Linked DNA regions of Tribolium castaneum. The protein of the gene in region 1 binds, or shares a complex with, the protein of each later gene. Links are inferred from orthologs where the notes say so. Each region holds a gene or a part of one and is shown in the gene's direction. Other genes may lie near its edges.

The links.
Region 2: dynein regulatory complex protein 1 homolog (region 1) and dynein regulatory complex subunit 3 share a complex: the UniProt entries of both Homo sapiens proteins name them as parts of the nexin-dynein regulatory complex. The link is inferred for Tribolium castaneum from reciprocal best matches to the Homo sapiens genes DRC1 and DRC3.
Region 3: dynein regulatory complex protein 1 homolog (region 1) and dynein regulatory complex protein 8 share a complex: the UniProt entries of both Homo sapiens proteins name them as parts of the nexin-dynein regulatory complex. The link is inferred for Tribolium castaneum from reciprocal best matches to the Homo sapiens genes DRC1 and DRC8.

The regions. Positions count from the first base shown.
Region 1 is NC_087399.1:6,863,206-6,868,307, reverse strand, and holds the start of dynein regulatory complex protein 1 homolog, read left to right. Parts: upstream 1-2,073; 5' UTR 2,074-2,157; coding exon 2,158-2,279; intron 2,280-2,323; coding exon 2,324-2,807; intron 2,808-3,154; coding exon 3,155-4,132; intron 4,133-4,182; coding exon 4,183-4,360; intron 4,361-4,486; coding exon 4,487-4,655; intron 4,656-4,704; coding exon 4,705-4,857; intron 4,858-4,901; coding exon 4,902-5,077; intron 5,078-5,102. Other genes in the region: RpL11 (large ribosomal subunit protein uL5), read right to left, coding at 1,041-1,279, 1,330-1,516, 1,564-1,704, 2,029-2,034. UniProt on the Homo sapiens protein: Component of the nexin-dynein regulatory complex (N-DRC) a key regulator of ciliary/flagellar motility which maintains the alignment and integrity of the distal axoneme and regulates microtubule sliding in motile axonemes.
Region 2 is NC_087394.1:30,246,311-30,251,449, forward strand, and holds dynein regulatory complex subunit 3, read left to right. Parts: upstream 1-1,664; 5' UTR 1,665-2,039; coding exon 2,040-2,196; intron 2,197-2,247; coding exon 2,248-2,531; intron 2,532-2,578; coding exon 2,579-2,751; intron 2,752-2,800; coding exon 2,801-3,149; intron 3,150-3,196; coding exon 3,197-3,592; exon of another isoform or gene 3,593-3,638; coding exon 3,639-3,778; exon of another isoform or gene 3,779-3,824; coding exon 3,825-3,957; 3' UTR 3,958-4,049; downstream 4,050-5,139. Other genes in the region: TOM1-like protein 2, read right to left, coding at 1,186-1,249; enoyl-CoA delta isomerase 1, mitochondrial, read right to left, coding at 4,068-4,184, 4,884-5,139. UniProt on the Homo sapiens protein: Component of the nexin-dynein regulatory complex (N-DRC) a key regulator of ciliary/flagellar motility which maintains the alignment and integrity of the distal axoneme and regulates microtubule sliding in motile axonemes.
Region 3 is NC_087394.1:7,332,803-7,336,523, forward strand, and holds dynein regulatory complex protein 8, read left to right. Parts: upstream 1-1,629; 5' UTR 1,630-1,764; coding exon 1,765-1,795; intron 1,796-1,845; coding exon 1,846-2,083; intron 2,084-2,129; coding exon 2,130-2,340; intron 2,341-2,389; coding exon 2,390-2,524; 3' UTR 2,525-2,546; downstream 2,547-3,721. Other genes in the region: delta(3,5)-Delta(2,4)-dienoyl-CoA isomerase, mitochondrial, read right to left, coding at 2,580-2,678. UniProt on the Homo sapiens protein: Component of the nexin-dynein regulatory complex (N-DRC), a key regulator of ciliary/flagellar motility which maintains the alignment and integrity of the distal axoneme and regulates microtubule sliding in motile axonemes.

The DNA.
Region 1 (5,102 bases):
TAACCGTGGAGAAGTTTCTCCCTCCACGAAAATGACAATGTTTTTTCATTATCAAGTATTTAATACATTTTTCAGTCACACTCTCGAAATTTTATAAAAAAATAAACTCAACAATCAACAAAATGGTAAAAGAACAGTTCGAGGAATTGTTTCCGTAGATTTGAAAAAAACAGTTGAAAAATTCATTAATTTGGAGCAAAAGCAATATTTTTTGTTTGTAGCATGTCAGCGAGAAAAATAATTTATTATTTCGCAAAATATTGTTAAACATAAAGAAAAAAATTTCAAAATTTTTCAGTGTTATGATAGCTCTCTAGAAAGTTACACCATTTTTAACTTAAACTTTTTTCGTGTAATTTCGCCAAAACTGGTTAATAATTCTATTCTAGTTCATTTTTGAACCAGTCTCACTTATTTTGCAAAAACATACTAAAAGAAACATTATTACTCGTTTTGAGTAAAAAAATATACGACAAAAAATTGGTAACACAATGGTTATAACTTTGCCATTTTCAAACGAGATATTTAAGCATTTTTATGATTCGGTTGCAACAAACCAAAAAATCACCAAATCGGGGCGAAAGAGACACTGTCATCTTTTCCCAGCTTTTTTCAATCAGAATCTCATATTATTTCGCAAAATTTCAGACAATTTGCCAATTAGTAAAAAACAAACGGTGCTATTTTGTCCATTTCACAAAAAAAAAACCCGTTAATTGACAACTTCATTTGACAACTTATGAAAACAAACCTAGGAAATTTGCCCAAAATAAACGAAAAAATCTCAATTTTATTAAAAAAATTGCTATACTTGCCTTTTTAAAACGATAATATTTTTGATCTAAACATTTTATGATGCAAAGAAAAACAGGAAACTTTCTACACAGTCAAGTTTTGTAATCTGATGAAACCATGGCTTTAGGATTTTTGGTGAAGGATAAGACTAGGTCACAAAAACTCAAATTGAATTTTCTTAAATAAACTTATTTGCGTCCTCATACAAATATGTTAAAATTAAAACATAACCATACGAAACGCAATCACTTCTTACTCGCCAGAATTATACCGTCATATTTCTGCTGGAACCACTTCATGGCGTCTTCTTTCGTCAAACGGTGCGGGAATCCAACCTTCCCTTGTTTCCTCCTCCTGTGGGCGACATTGAAGCCAGGCCGTCCCAAAACGACGTAAAAATCTAAACCGTAGATACCAATACTGGGGTCATACTTGATCCCCAAATCGATGTGTTCCTGGATACCGAAGCCAAAGTTACCTGAAGCTAATTCTCTCATTAGAGCGATTTTCGCGCGATTTGTGCCAAAAAAATACCGGAAAAGTTGTCGCGTCTCAATTCGTACTCGCGCACTTTCAGGCCCCGTTCGAGGATCTCCTCGGCCTTGGCCCCACGGACTGTGCAGTGAACGGCGATCTTTTCGTTACGTCTGATGCCGAAAGACCGGACGGTGTAGCGGGCTTTGGAAAACACGGGCTGTTGCCCCGTCAATTGTTCTAACACCTGCAAGTCGAAAATTACAATCTGGGGGGCGATGCAAAGACACTCACTTTAGCGGCGCGGGTTAACCTATCACCAGACTCTCCGACGCAAATATTTAGGCACAGTTTGCGGATGTGAAGGTCCCTCATCACATTTTTGGACTTGTCCTTCACCTCCCGCTTTTCCTTCTTCGCTCCCTTCGCTACCGGCTGGAAAAAACACAACATTTTTTTTATAGGTTAGACTTGCCCTGTCATAAATAACAACCACAAGGTGAATTTTCGCCCAAATCTACTAAAAAAACAGCAAATGATTGGTTTTAAACGACTCTTTACGTGTTTTTAGGCGAAAAAACTGCCAAAAAATGATTTTTGGAACACATGTCCCTAATCACCAAAAACAAAAAATACGCCCAAAATCACAAAAAAACAATCATTTGACACGCAAATCACTCAATTTCAATCAATTTCACTGATTGTGCAAAACGATGATTAAAGAAATAGAAAATTGAACGAAAAAACAGGAAAACATACCGCCATTGCGAATCTAGAAAGTTGAAAAGACCGTCGGTAAAACAGTTTTCTGAAGCACAATTCTCTCCCGTTGCTATAACAACGTGGCGCTAAATTCAACTTGCTATTTTATTTGATCAATATCAAGAAATGGAAGAGGAAGAAGTGACCGATGAGGAGAATTACGAACCGCAGGTTTTTTCCAAAAACCCCACCGAACGTATTGCCGCCCGCCGGCTCCGCATCCAGCGCCGGGTGGAGGCTTTGCGCAAGTAAGCCCCTTTTTTCTGACTTTTTTTCATTTTGCCAAAATCAGGGCAAAGGAGGCTCAAGAGGCGGCAAAGCTCAACGTTACGCTCGAGCCGGAGGTCACCAAGACGCCCATCGAGATCCAGATTGAGAAGAGCATCGAGCTTTTGGAGAAGCTGGTTCTCGAAGGAGATGAGTATGTTACCAATGTTCGGGTGGCAACGGAGGCTCGGGAGGCCGACAGGCGTGAACGCGAAGGCATAGGGAAGGAAAAGCTGTTGAAGGAGCTCGAAGATGAGGCCGAGGCGGCAGCGGGGATGTTCGAGGAGATTGCAAACAAGTGGGGCGGGATTTTGAAGTATAATGACCCCTTGCATATCAGTGAGGATATCCAGAGTCAGAAGGAGAAGTGCGATGAGCTTATCAGACAGAAGGATAATCTCATTGCTGAGCTGAAGGAGAAGATTCGAAAGGCGGAAATCAATTTTGCGATTGATCAGAGAAAGCAGATCGAGGATGTCAATTCGATTGCACGCAGGATTGAGAATCAGGTCCCTATGACTTAAACGTTTTTATCCTAGATGACTTCATGCACATTTTGCTCTAAAGGTTTTTTCCCAGAATTTCTTTTCCTTCTCATAATTTTTTTCAGGTTTTTTTAGTTTTAGTAGATTGCAATTTTCGTAAACTTAATTTCGTTCATTCATTCATTTATCTACTGTGATTTTTTTGTGTATTTACTTTCCAGTTAATAAGGGGGTTAAGTTATAGCAATTGCTAAACAATTTAAATAAAACAGACGAGTTATTATAATTATTTTTGCAAATTATATTTGCTATAGTTGTATTGTTGGTTGCATACCCAACCAAACGTTTAATTTAGTTTTTCCAAATTTTAGATTATCGTGATGAGGAAGGCGTATCGCCAGGAGTTACAAATGATCGAAGAGGTGATCCTTGCCGAACGCCAAATCCTCATTGAGGCCAATAACAAGAAATGGGAGGAACTGTACAAGAAGCGAGACCAGGAGGAAAAAGCAAACTCCGAGCTCAAATCGGAAGATTACTGGAATTTTGTCAAAGAAATGGACCATTTGAACCGCGACTTTCAAGAACTGTATCGTGCGACCACAATTCAACTAGAAAACGACTGCGACGAGCTCCAGCGTGAGCTGGAAAGAATCAAAACCGATGCGGTTATGAACAGCGAAAAGCTCGACTACAATTACCAGATTTTGAAAAAACGCGAAGACGAGAATCTGATTATTCGGTCGCAACAAAAGCGCCGAATTAACAAGCTTCAGGACGTTATCAACAACTTGCGGAAGAAAAACAACGATTACCACACTCAAACCCATCAACAGATTGACAAACTCACGATCGAGTTGAAAAAACTGACCCAGAATATCCTCGATATTGAGCGGAAAGCTGATCATATAGCTCAGGTTAATGACGAGAAGTTTAAGAAAATCTGGGGTATGAATAAGCAACGGGCCGATCAGCTTTTCAAACGCATCCTCGAGATTGATAAGACTTTGTACGAGCAACAGTTAGGTTTGATTTGGAGCCCTCCTGAGCATAAACTCCCCACGAGAAATGAACTAGACAGTTACAAAACGGCCCTAAATGTTTTGAGCGTTCGCAAATTGAAAAGCAAAAGCGTGATTATGGAAACAGAAGGCGCCCCGAACGTGGAACCTGAAATTCCTGAAGGCGATGACATTGACTATAATAAAAATTATAAAAAAACGTTGAGACATGTCTTGAATTTGGTCGGCGATAAGATGGGGTTTTTGATCGAGGATGACTTACTTGCCATTTTGGAGCCCTATTTAGAGCAGGAACGCACTTTGGTTAAAGTTGATAACGTTTTTGCGGTAGTTTGTTACAGTTAATTGTTTATTTATGTGCAAAAAGAATATTTTAGGCCCTTAATATTAATGATCGTTCCGATATTGACCTACTTCTTGAGTTCTTCCTCCCTTACATGTTCTGTCCCATTTGTAACACAACTTCAGAAAAGCCCATCAATATTGATGAAGAAAGTTTGCTGAATGTTCATGAAATGGATCCTCTGAACGTCTCCCAACTCACTGACAATGATGGTACAGTCACGTTCAAAAAGAATGACACCCTTACCCCTGCCATTTTAGGGGTGTCATTCTTTTTGATCGTGACTGTACTTGGGTACCTAAGGTATTTAAAAAAAAAATTCAAATATGTTTTTTAAGACAGTAGAAGCCGATTAAGTGATACTTATGCCACCGACATGTCTTTGAACGAATACGTGGGGGCGGAGCGTGAAGGGGGGACCAATATAGACGTGGGCCCTTTATCAGTAACCCTTTACGACGATAATTTGAAAGGGGAGTGCAAAGGGCCCGAATTGCGCGAGCGAGAGTAAGCAAATTAAACGAATTATTTGTCACAAAATATTGTTTTTTTACAGTATCAAGGATCAGGACAGTAAAGGGTCGTTTGGTGAAGCTGATAATAAATCAAACGTGCCATGCCAATACCAACACCCACTTGTGATAAGCTCTGTTTACGTTTTGAAAGCTTTGAGAGAGTTTCTGGCCAAATATCACGTCAAGAAGGCCGGGTAAAAATTTGAGTTAGTGATTTTTGGTACTTAAAGTTTTGTAGCATGCCAACAATGTCGGCAAGACTGGCTCATAAACGAAGCACGGTCTCTCGATTGGTGGCACAGGAAGATATCGAGAGTTATTGGACTAAATATACGACGCTTTTTCCGAAAGAAAGGGAACAGTTGTGGGATAGTCTTCTAGCTGGGCTTAAACGTTATCACGAGTTGTTGAAAGGTTATGTCAGGGTTTTTCGGTGAAA
Region 2 (5,139 bases), on another chromosome or scaffold:
CATTGCATATTAGTCTAAATTAAAAACTAAAAATGGCAATGGAGTTTTTTTCCTCCAAATATACAAAATTGTGAAAATCCACCTACAAACCGACTCATAACTGTAATACATGTAACACATGCCTCGCCCATACAGTTGCATGCTATTGCAACATTTTACGTACAAATTAACTTTACTATTAATTTTGTAGTACAATTTAATTTACCAAATGACTAGGTTCACATCCATTTTAATAATTAAATCTAATCACTTAAATAAATGTGGTGCACGCTGCAGTAATCACAATTAATTATAATAATTGTAAAGAAAAGTTTTGGAGAGGACGTTGTTTTTTGTTAGCCAAACATTTTAAAATTTTATCTGAAAAAAATATGTCTGGTTCATTACTTAAATATTTACCAATGTCTCACAACACATTGTTGAATGATTGTTTATGGACTTATTATTACTATGTTATTGGTCATTTTCGAAAATTCTTGTTGCTCTATTTTACACTTGAATTATTCATGTAAATAGGCGATAGAAAAGAATTTATATTGTTATTTTTATTCTAAGGTGATTAAGAACGCGCAAAAATAGTTCCAATTAATTAACTGATCTGAATTAGCATAAATACATATGTATATTTATTTTAAAGCAACGATGAAAAATATTTCAACTACGTTTTGCCCATAAAATTATCAAAGAATGTGGGTACTACAGCGGTATTATTCCTAACTGTTGTGACATACATAAGAGATTATTGTACCGATAACGCAAAGTATTTTTTTAATAATAGGTTTAAATAGACAAATTTCCATAGGACCCCGTGAAGAAAGCATAAAACGTCTCAGTTGATAGCCTATGTAGAGTAGTATAAGTCACACCTATTGGTAAATAATTATAAACAAATTTGGTACGAAATAAAAACCACGCTGTAGTTGTGACAAACAAAATGTAAATGCAAAAACCTACACCTACACAGACAGCGATGACGAAGTACCTTAGAATTATTACCAGAAACAGTAATTAAACAGTCTGATGAATAGATATAGGTGAATCAGCCAACAAAAGTGATAAACAATGTAATCTAAACAATAAAATACAGTGCCAGCACCGGTTTCTAGTTCTATTTACGTTTTATTAAATCGATTTTAACAACGGAAAAAAATTAAATGAAATCCGGCAATGCCAAGCGGGACTCACCAATTCGCGATCCTACGGGCGTCGAAAAGGGATTTCCTCCTAATGCAGTTCCAAAAAAAGACATTTTTTATTTCTAAATTAAATTTCACGATTGCACTTTCTTGTTGTCACTTGACTTCTGTCACTGTCACTTGTCAAAACAAGAAAACACTGCGGCGCTTGCGCAATACTTCCGCTCCTAAATCTAAAATTTTCCGACGAAAATAACAATTTTATTTCAAACAAATAAACTGCATGACGCGCTTGTTGGTGTGTTAGTCACTGTTTTTCTAATTTATTGATCTTTTCATTCCCAAGTTGTGTAAACTTCTGAATAAAAAGACGTCAGACATGTGTCACGTGATCAAAAATTATACGAGGTGCGGTTCACAATTTAAAGTTCTTTTTTTATGTTATTTTTCCGTTCTTTCACGTAATATACTACCAAAGCGAGCATTTCTGCATTTATAACTGTGCTGTTGTCATTTCTTCTTTGATACAGAATACAACGTAATTTTACAATTTTGAGTATTTTTTTATAAGTTGCGGTATCAGCACTCGGCTTCGCCTCGACTACAATTTCGCAAACTCTTAATTGTAAAGATTTTTTTACTCCAAAAACCCTCTCTGGGCTATTTTTATCTACTTAGACGTTATAATCTACCTGTAAAGAGTTTTTTGTAATTGATATAATTTCACAATGAAAAATAATAAAACTCAAGAGCACAAGCTCGGCAAACTCAAAGATTCATGATTTCTCAAGTCCATAGCAACAATAAGGTACTTAAACAACAGTCATTGTGACATCAATAATTTCAAGAATGCTTGAAAAGGTATTTGTATCGATTTAGTGTGCCTAATGAAAATTTGTAAAAATGAATCCTTGTAAATTGAAAGAGCCAAAAGTAATAGACAATGCCCTTCTGGAGAAATGTATCAAAGACCAGGGCCCCAAGGGTGAAGCGGGTCGCTTGGCGGAGATCGAAAAAATCCCCCTTGAAGACGTCACCGAGATTCGCTTAGAATTTCTGAGTAACAATTCTTGTAAAATTTAAACCCGACTTTCTGTGTCCCTATCCGTAGATATCTTAAGAATTGACCACTTGTGGGTGCTGACATCTTTAACGAAATTAAATCTCAACAATAATTTACTGGAAAAAATCGAAAATTTGGAAAGTCTGGTGAACTTAACTGAACTAAATTTATCATTCAATAAAATAGCTAAAATCGAAAATTTAGACGAGCTTCGCAACCTTGAAAAGCTGAGTCTGTATGATAACGAAATCACGGTTTTGGAGAACATGGACACTTTAACAAAATTAACAGTTTTTAGCATTGGAAGAAACAAAATTGACGACTTGGACAATGTATTACGAAAAATAATTGTGTTCTAGAATACACAAATATTTTATAGATTCTGTATTTGCGACGATTCGGCAATTTAAAATCGTTAAATCTAGTGGGGAATCCCTGTGCCGAGGATGAAGATTTTCGTTTATTTATTGCAGTTTTTCTGCCACAACTCGTTTACTACGAATATAAATTAATATACGAGTCGGAACGGGAACTTGGACACGAAACTTTCAGGTTTCTAGCTAAAATTGTTTAAGTGAACATCAGTAGGAGAGTTTTTTAGTGCAAAACTGCGAGCATTGTTGGAGAAAGAGGAGAAGGAACGGGAAATCACTGCGATAAAGGAACAAGAGTTGGCCGATGCCGAACTTCACGCCTCTAGTTTCGTGGAGTATTTAAACACTCGCCATTTGTTCGACTCTTTATTTGCCAACGACACCGACGGCATGAACTTGATGAAAATCGGCGAAGACGCGCAAGAATTCTACGACGAGTACGAGGAGAACTTCATCGAACTGTGTAAACAAATATTCGAAAATGGGCAACAACAGTACATCCTGCGCAAAACCGAACAGGACCAGTTCTTAAAATGCGTCGAAGACGCAAATAAGGACAATCAAGACGAAAGCATTGTACGCCCCCTTTCGAATTTACTTATAGCCCCAAATTTCGTCCGTAGAAACACATGGAGATCTTCCTGGAGAAGAAGGCAATACTGTTCCTCAAAATCAAAAACGTGCAAAACCAGCTGAACTCAAACGAAATAAATTACGACGAGTTTATCGACAAATGCGACGTCTTCGTGGTGGAGTACGACGAGATGTTGCACGAAGTTTGGAAAGCGCTAATGAAACTGGAACTGGAACTTTACGAACAAATGGAAGAAGTCAACCAAACTTTCGAACACAACATCACAGAACTCGTTAATAATTTCATTGAATCGTCGCAGGCTTTCTTTACGCAGATCAGAGAGCTGGAAGTGAGCTACGCTGAAAATATCGGCGATTTGGCCACAAAGTTTCAAACAAATGCCAATTTGAATGAGGAAATCGAAGTTCCCGCAGTTCTTAAACCGGTAACTTCCGGCACTTGCTTTATTAATAATTTCAATGAGATTACAGCTTATGGCAGATAAGGATCTTCTGCACAACGCGTTGGCAACAAGTCACGATATGCACATGCAGATTATCGATGCGAGAGAAGACACTCTCATTTCGAACGCCAAGGATTGGCTAAATGATTTAATCGACGATTTAAACACGTAAGTTATGCCTTTACTTTTCCCGAAAAATATCCACAACTTGTAGGAATGAGATCAAGCGAAACAGGGGGAAAGTGCTGGAAATTAACCACTTTCTTGAAATCCAAAGGCAGGAGTTTGAGGATTTGAATAAGGAATACGCGCCTGATCTCAAGGATGACGTTATAGCCTTGGAATAAGTAAGATAGTAAAATATACTTTATTTTTACAAAAGTACTTACACATATTCTTGGTTTGGATAATAAATTTTACACTTCATTATATAAAAGAATATCAACTTATAATATCCTTATTTCTGTTTCTGCTTCAATGATTGCAGATACATTTCCAACCCCTTTTGCACACTGTCCTGAGCTACGTAATTCGCCACATATTCGTAATCTTTTTGGAGATTGTTAGTGAGGTCCTGAAATAAAAACTCATTTTTACAAAATATATAATTGAGCCTTAAATACAAAAATGCCAAAAAAGTCTATAAAAAAATCATAATACTAATTGCATCACATAATATGTTGAGATAAAAATATGTTTCCTTGGTGAGTTTCCTTAATAAAACATTTCGTTATATTTCCTTGCATTTTTAATAATGATTTTACCTACCTAGTTTTTGAAACTTAAAAAAAATACGGATAAATGCCAACTGATTAATTTCTGCAGAAAGATAGTACCCTCAACTTCTAGTATAAACTTAATTCGAAAGTATTACCAACAATTTCAGTACTAAAAGATCTTGGGGTTTTTTGGATAACAAATTATTTTTGAGATAATTTCTATATACTTGAAAATAATTTAAGCTCATAGGTCAGTATCGAAGCCTTTTTAACACAACTTTTTTTTAATATTGTAACATTTGGAAGGTTAGCAGTCTCTTCCAACTCGCTGGGACACGTTGCATAATTTTATAAAACTGTTATAAACAATGATAATGAATACAAAAAATACAATTGAAGGACCTTGATGCGAAATCACTTTACAACAGTTCTGAATGCAACTTCGTCATGACTAGTTTAATAAATTTATTTATTAAAGGTGCTTGAGAGTGGATAAAATATGTTGCTCTGATAAGTGAGTTATTGGTGTTTAGATTTGCTGAAATTAGGCTTACTTGTATGTCAGCGCCTCGCACTCCCAACTTGGATCTGGCTCTTGCAATTGGCGGAATTCTGGCGAATCTTCCGCAAAACTTCTCCGCTCTTGCAATGCCATCCTCTTTGCTAGCCGCCACCTCGTCAATCATTCCAATTTTCAAAGCTTCGTCAGTTGAGAAAAGATTGCCGCTAGTTAAAGCCAATTCAGTCTGTCTCGTTCCAATCACATTCCTCATGGACGCAATGAACCATTGTGGGGCCACAATCCCAAGT
Region 3 (3,721 bases), on another chromosome or scaffold:
AATCTAGAGAAGAACGAATCTAAAGATGGATTTATAGAATAATCTAAAGAAGAAACCATCAGATCTGCAAACGGGTTATTTAGAAAAGAATCAGAGAAAAGAACAGAAACAATGCTAAAGAATAATTTAAAAATTATAAAGGGAACTACAGAGGAATTTAATAGCGCATCCAAAGATGGATTTACTAAAATAATGTAAAGAGGAATCCAGATTTCAGATCTACAAACGGTTTCAAAAAAGAACTCGAGTAGGATCTCAAGAAAAATCTAGAGAAGAGTACAAAAACAATGCTAAAGAATAAAAATATATTGCGAGAGAAAAATTCTATACATAACTGTAGGACAATTTTGAAAAGATGCAGAGTGCAATCTAGGAGAGGTTTTGGATAAAAAAAATTAAAAGAGTTTATAAAATAATTTTGAGTAGTATAGAAAATAATTTCTAAAGAAGTATATGGAGATGGATTTATAAAATAATTTAAAAAGTTCCAATTTTAGGTTTAGAAACGATTTTTTAAAATATTTGAGACTTATTTTAAAAACAATCTAAAAAAGAGTAGACAAACAAATAATGCCAAAAAATAATTTAGAAAAATTCGAAACGAAAGTACAAAGGAATTTTCAAACAAAGCAGACCTAATAATTGTCTTAAAAAACGTGAAAAATTCGTGAATTTATACAATAATCGAAAGAAGAATCTATATTTCAGATCTAGAATTAGGCTTATTTAGGAAAAAAAGAAAAGAAAAGAATTAGAAAAGTATATGAAAAAAAAATCCAGAGAAGACTACAGAATTAATAAAAATTATTTGGAAAAATTGTAAAGGAAACTACAGAAGAATTTATAACCGAATCTAAAGATGTAACCTAAAGAAGATTATAACCTAATAAGATTATTTCAAGAGAAAAATTCTATACGAAACTGTAGAAGAATTTTGGAAAGATACAGAGTAGAATCTAGAAGAAAATTTGGATAAAAATATTTGAAAAAAAGTGTATAAAATAATTTTGATTAGAGTCTAGAAAATAATTCTAAAGACGTATCTACAGATACCTAGAGTCTCCTCTACAAAAAAATTTAGAAGAATATTATGAACAATGTAAAAAAAAGTACATAAATAAAATAATAATACAGACTAAAAAATAATTTGGAAGAATTTTAAACGACGCAGACAAGAATCTTAAATTTGGATAATGTCAAAAAAATGTAAAAGTGTTAATAAAACAATTTTGGATTTGAAAGAAGAATCTAGAGAAGATGGATTTATAAAATAATCTAAAGAAGAGTACAGAAAGCTAAAGAATAATCTGGAAGAAATTTAAACGAAACTAAAGGAAAATCTTGAAAAACTGCAAAGTAGAATCTACTACAGAGTGACTATTAAAGACTGTGACAAAAAAACCTATTAGTAACACTGAATTATTGGCCTTCATGGTGGCTTGTTATATTAAGATTTCAAATTTGTCACCAACCTGACAAGAATCGCAATTTTTGAATAATCACCTGGTAAAGAGAATTTGAATAATATTTGTGTATTTATTTTATTTACACTGTTTTTTGTCATTCGTAATTTGTGCAACATAAATATGGCATTTTTACTTTTTAATGTTATTTTTAATTAAGAGTAATTATTATTATTGGTGATTTTTACCAAAAAAATATGCAAGTGGTACAACTGCCAACACTTCAAATCACCTAGCAACCAAAACTGTCGCTAGGAGACCGTCAACTGTTTAAACCTTAACGATTATCAAAATTGTTAAAATGTTGGAAGACGAAGAAGAAGAAATTCATGGTTTTTGTCAAAAACTCGTCTTTTTCCAAAAAACCAACACGTTTTTTTAGTGCCTATTAATAATGACTTGGAGCGCAGAATTGCCGACGCGTTTGAAGTTTTCGACCACGCAGGTAACAAAACAGTCGATGTTCGAGAAGTGGCAACGATCGTACGTGCCTTGGGTTGTTGCCCCACTGAGGCAGAAATTCAGGAAATTTTGATGGCTGTTGAAAACCCCGAATCTCCCGGAAGTGTACACTTGTCTAATTTTTTACCCCACATGTCGCAAATCATCACTGAACACAAGTATCACCAAAATTTAATCGCCAAAAAACGAAATTTTCATTCGCAGGTATCAGCCTGCAAGTCCCGCGCAACTTTTAGAAGCGTTCCAAGTGCTAGATAATGAAGGTAAAGGTTTTTTAACAAAGGAACGCATTTCCACGCTTATGACGCAAGATGGTGAGCCCTTTACCCAAGACGAACTCGACGAAATGCTGGAAATAGCCATAGACCCACACACTCAAACTGTGCCTTATGAATATTACATCAATCAGCTAATGGTACCTAATTTTTATTTTTGCAAATATTGCACTACGTTATTTTTAATAGCACGAACCTGAAGGAGAGAAAGATATCTATAAGTTAGCTGATCGTGTTCTTGAGGAAAATCCACCTCCACCTCCTCCTCCTCCACCTCGAAGGCTGTCCGAGTTCCTGCATGATTTGTCCGTTCCTGAATTTTAAATTATAAAACACTCCAAACTTCCACCTTGTTTATTATTTAATCTTCTTGCTTAATTTACAATTTTGCGAAAACTGTATCTTTCTGTTTGGTAGCTTGGGCTACTGTTGCTGTTGTGAAGTCTTCACTTTGAAGCATTAGCTGATTCCATAAGGCCTGTAAGTAATGTGTTATTAATTTATTATTTTTTGCAGCTGGATTAAGAAACAAGCACTAATGGGGGCGCCATTGAAAAATAAGCTTAATTTATCTTCTTGTTATTTAATTAAGGCAAGTTTCCTTTTATTAGGTGGTTTCAGTGAACATTAATAAAGAATAAAGAAATATTTCTGTGTTGTTACTGATAAATAGTTACTCCTTCTGTTCGAAAATACGGTAGGTATAACTTTTAAAGGCCGGTAAGTAATTACCAGTGTGAGGAAATTTTAGGGGGTGGCCATGAGGCCACAACCGATCAGCCGACTCGTCGTAGCGCTCTCGCGATGTTCATATTTATCGATGAAATGGTCCGCTACAGCGTGTGCATTGGCGTAGTTTACTTGGGGTTTATACAATTAATGTTACCGGTCGCTTACAAAAATCTAATTAAAACATAAATATTATTGTTTTATTATAATTACGGAGTACCCAAGAAAAATTGTGGCAATAAAATAGTCGCTAATTTATTAAGACTGCGGTATATTTGTTGAGATTATTTTCTGAATCAATTTTAAAATAGTTGCTAATATCAGCTTCTGATTGGCTAGTTCAAACCCTGACAAGGCACCTAATTTGACATAATCGTTAAAAAATAACTTCATCATTTCTTTAATTTTACACGGACACCAATGAAGATGTTTAATACAGGGGAGCGTAAGTCACTATTACATTTTGAAAATGTTGCGTTTTAATTCAGTGGAAATTAAAATTAAAAACTAAATAAAAATATTTTAATCATTTTTTCTGAGAAATACGCTTGAATAACTGAGATTCTTTCTAAATTCTCGAAAACTGATTCCGTTTTGCGGTTAAAATATCTTTGAATTTCGAAAAAGATCTTTCTACATCACAGTTGGTTACAGGAGTAAATAAAAAGTTTGGTGCTAATGCAAAATATGTCGAAGGTGGTACATTATTCGCTATTTGTTTTAAAACTAGAAAATCGGGATTTCTAGTAACTGCGTCAATTTTTGCATTAAATTTATCTTGTAATGACCATT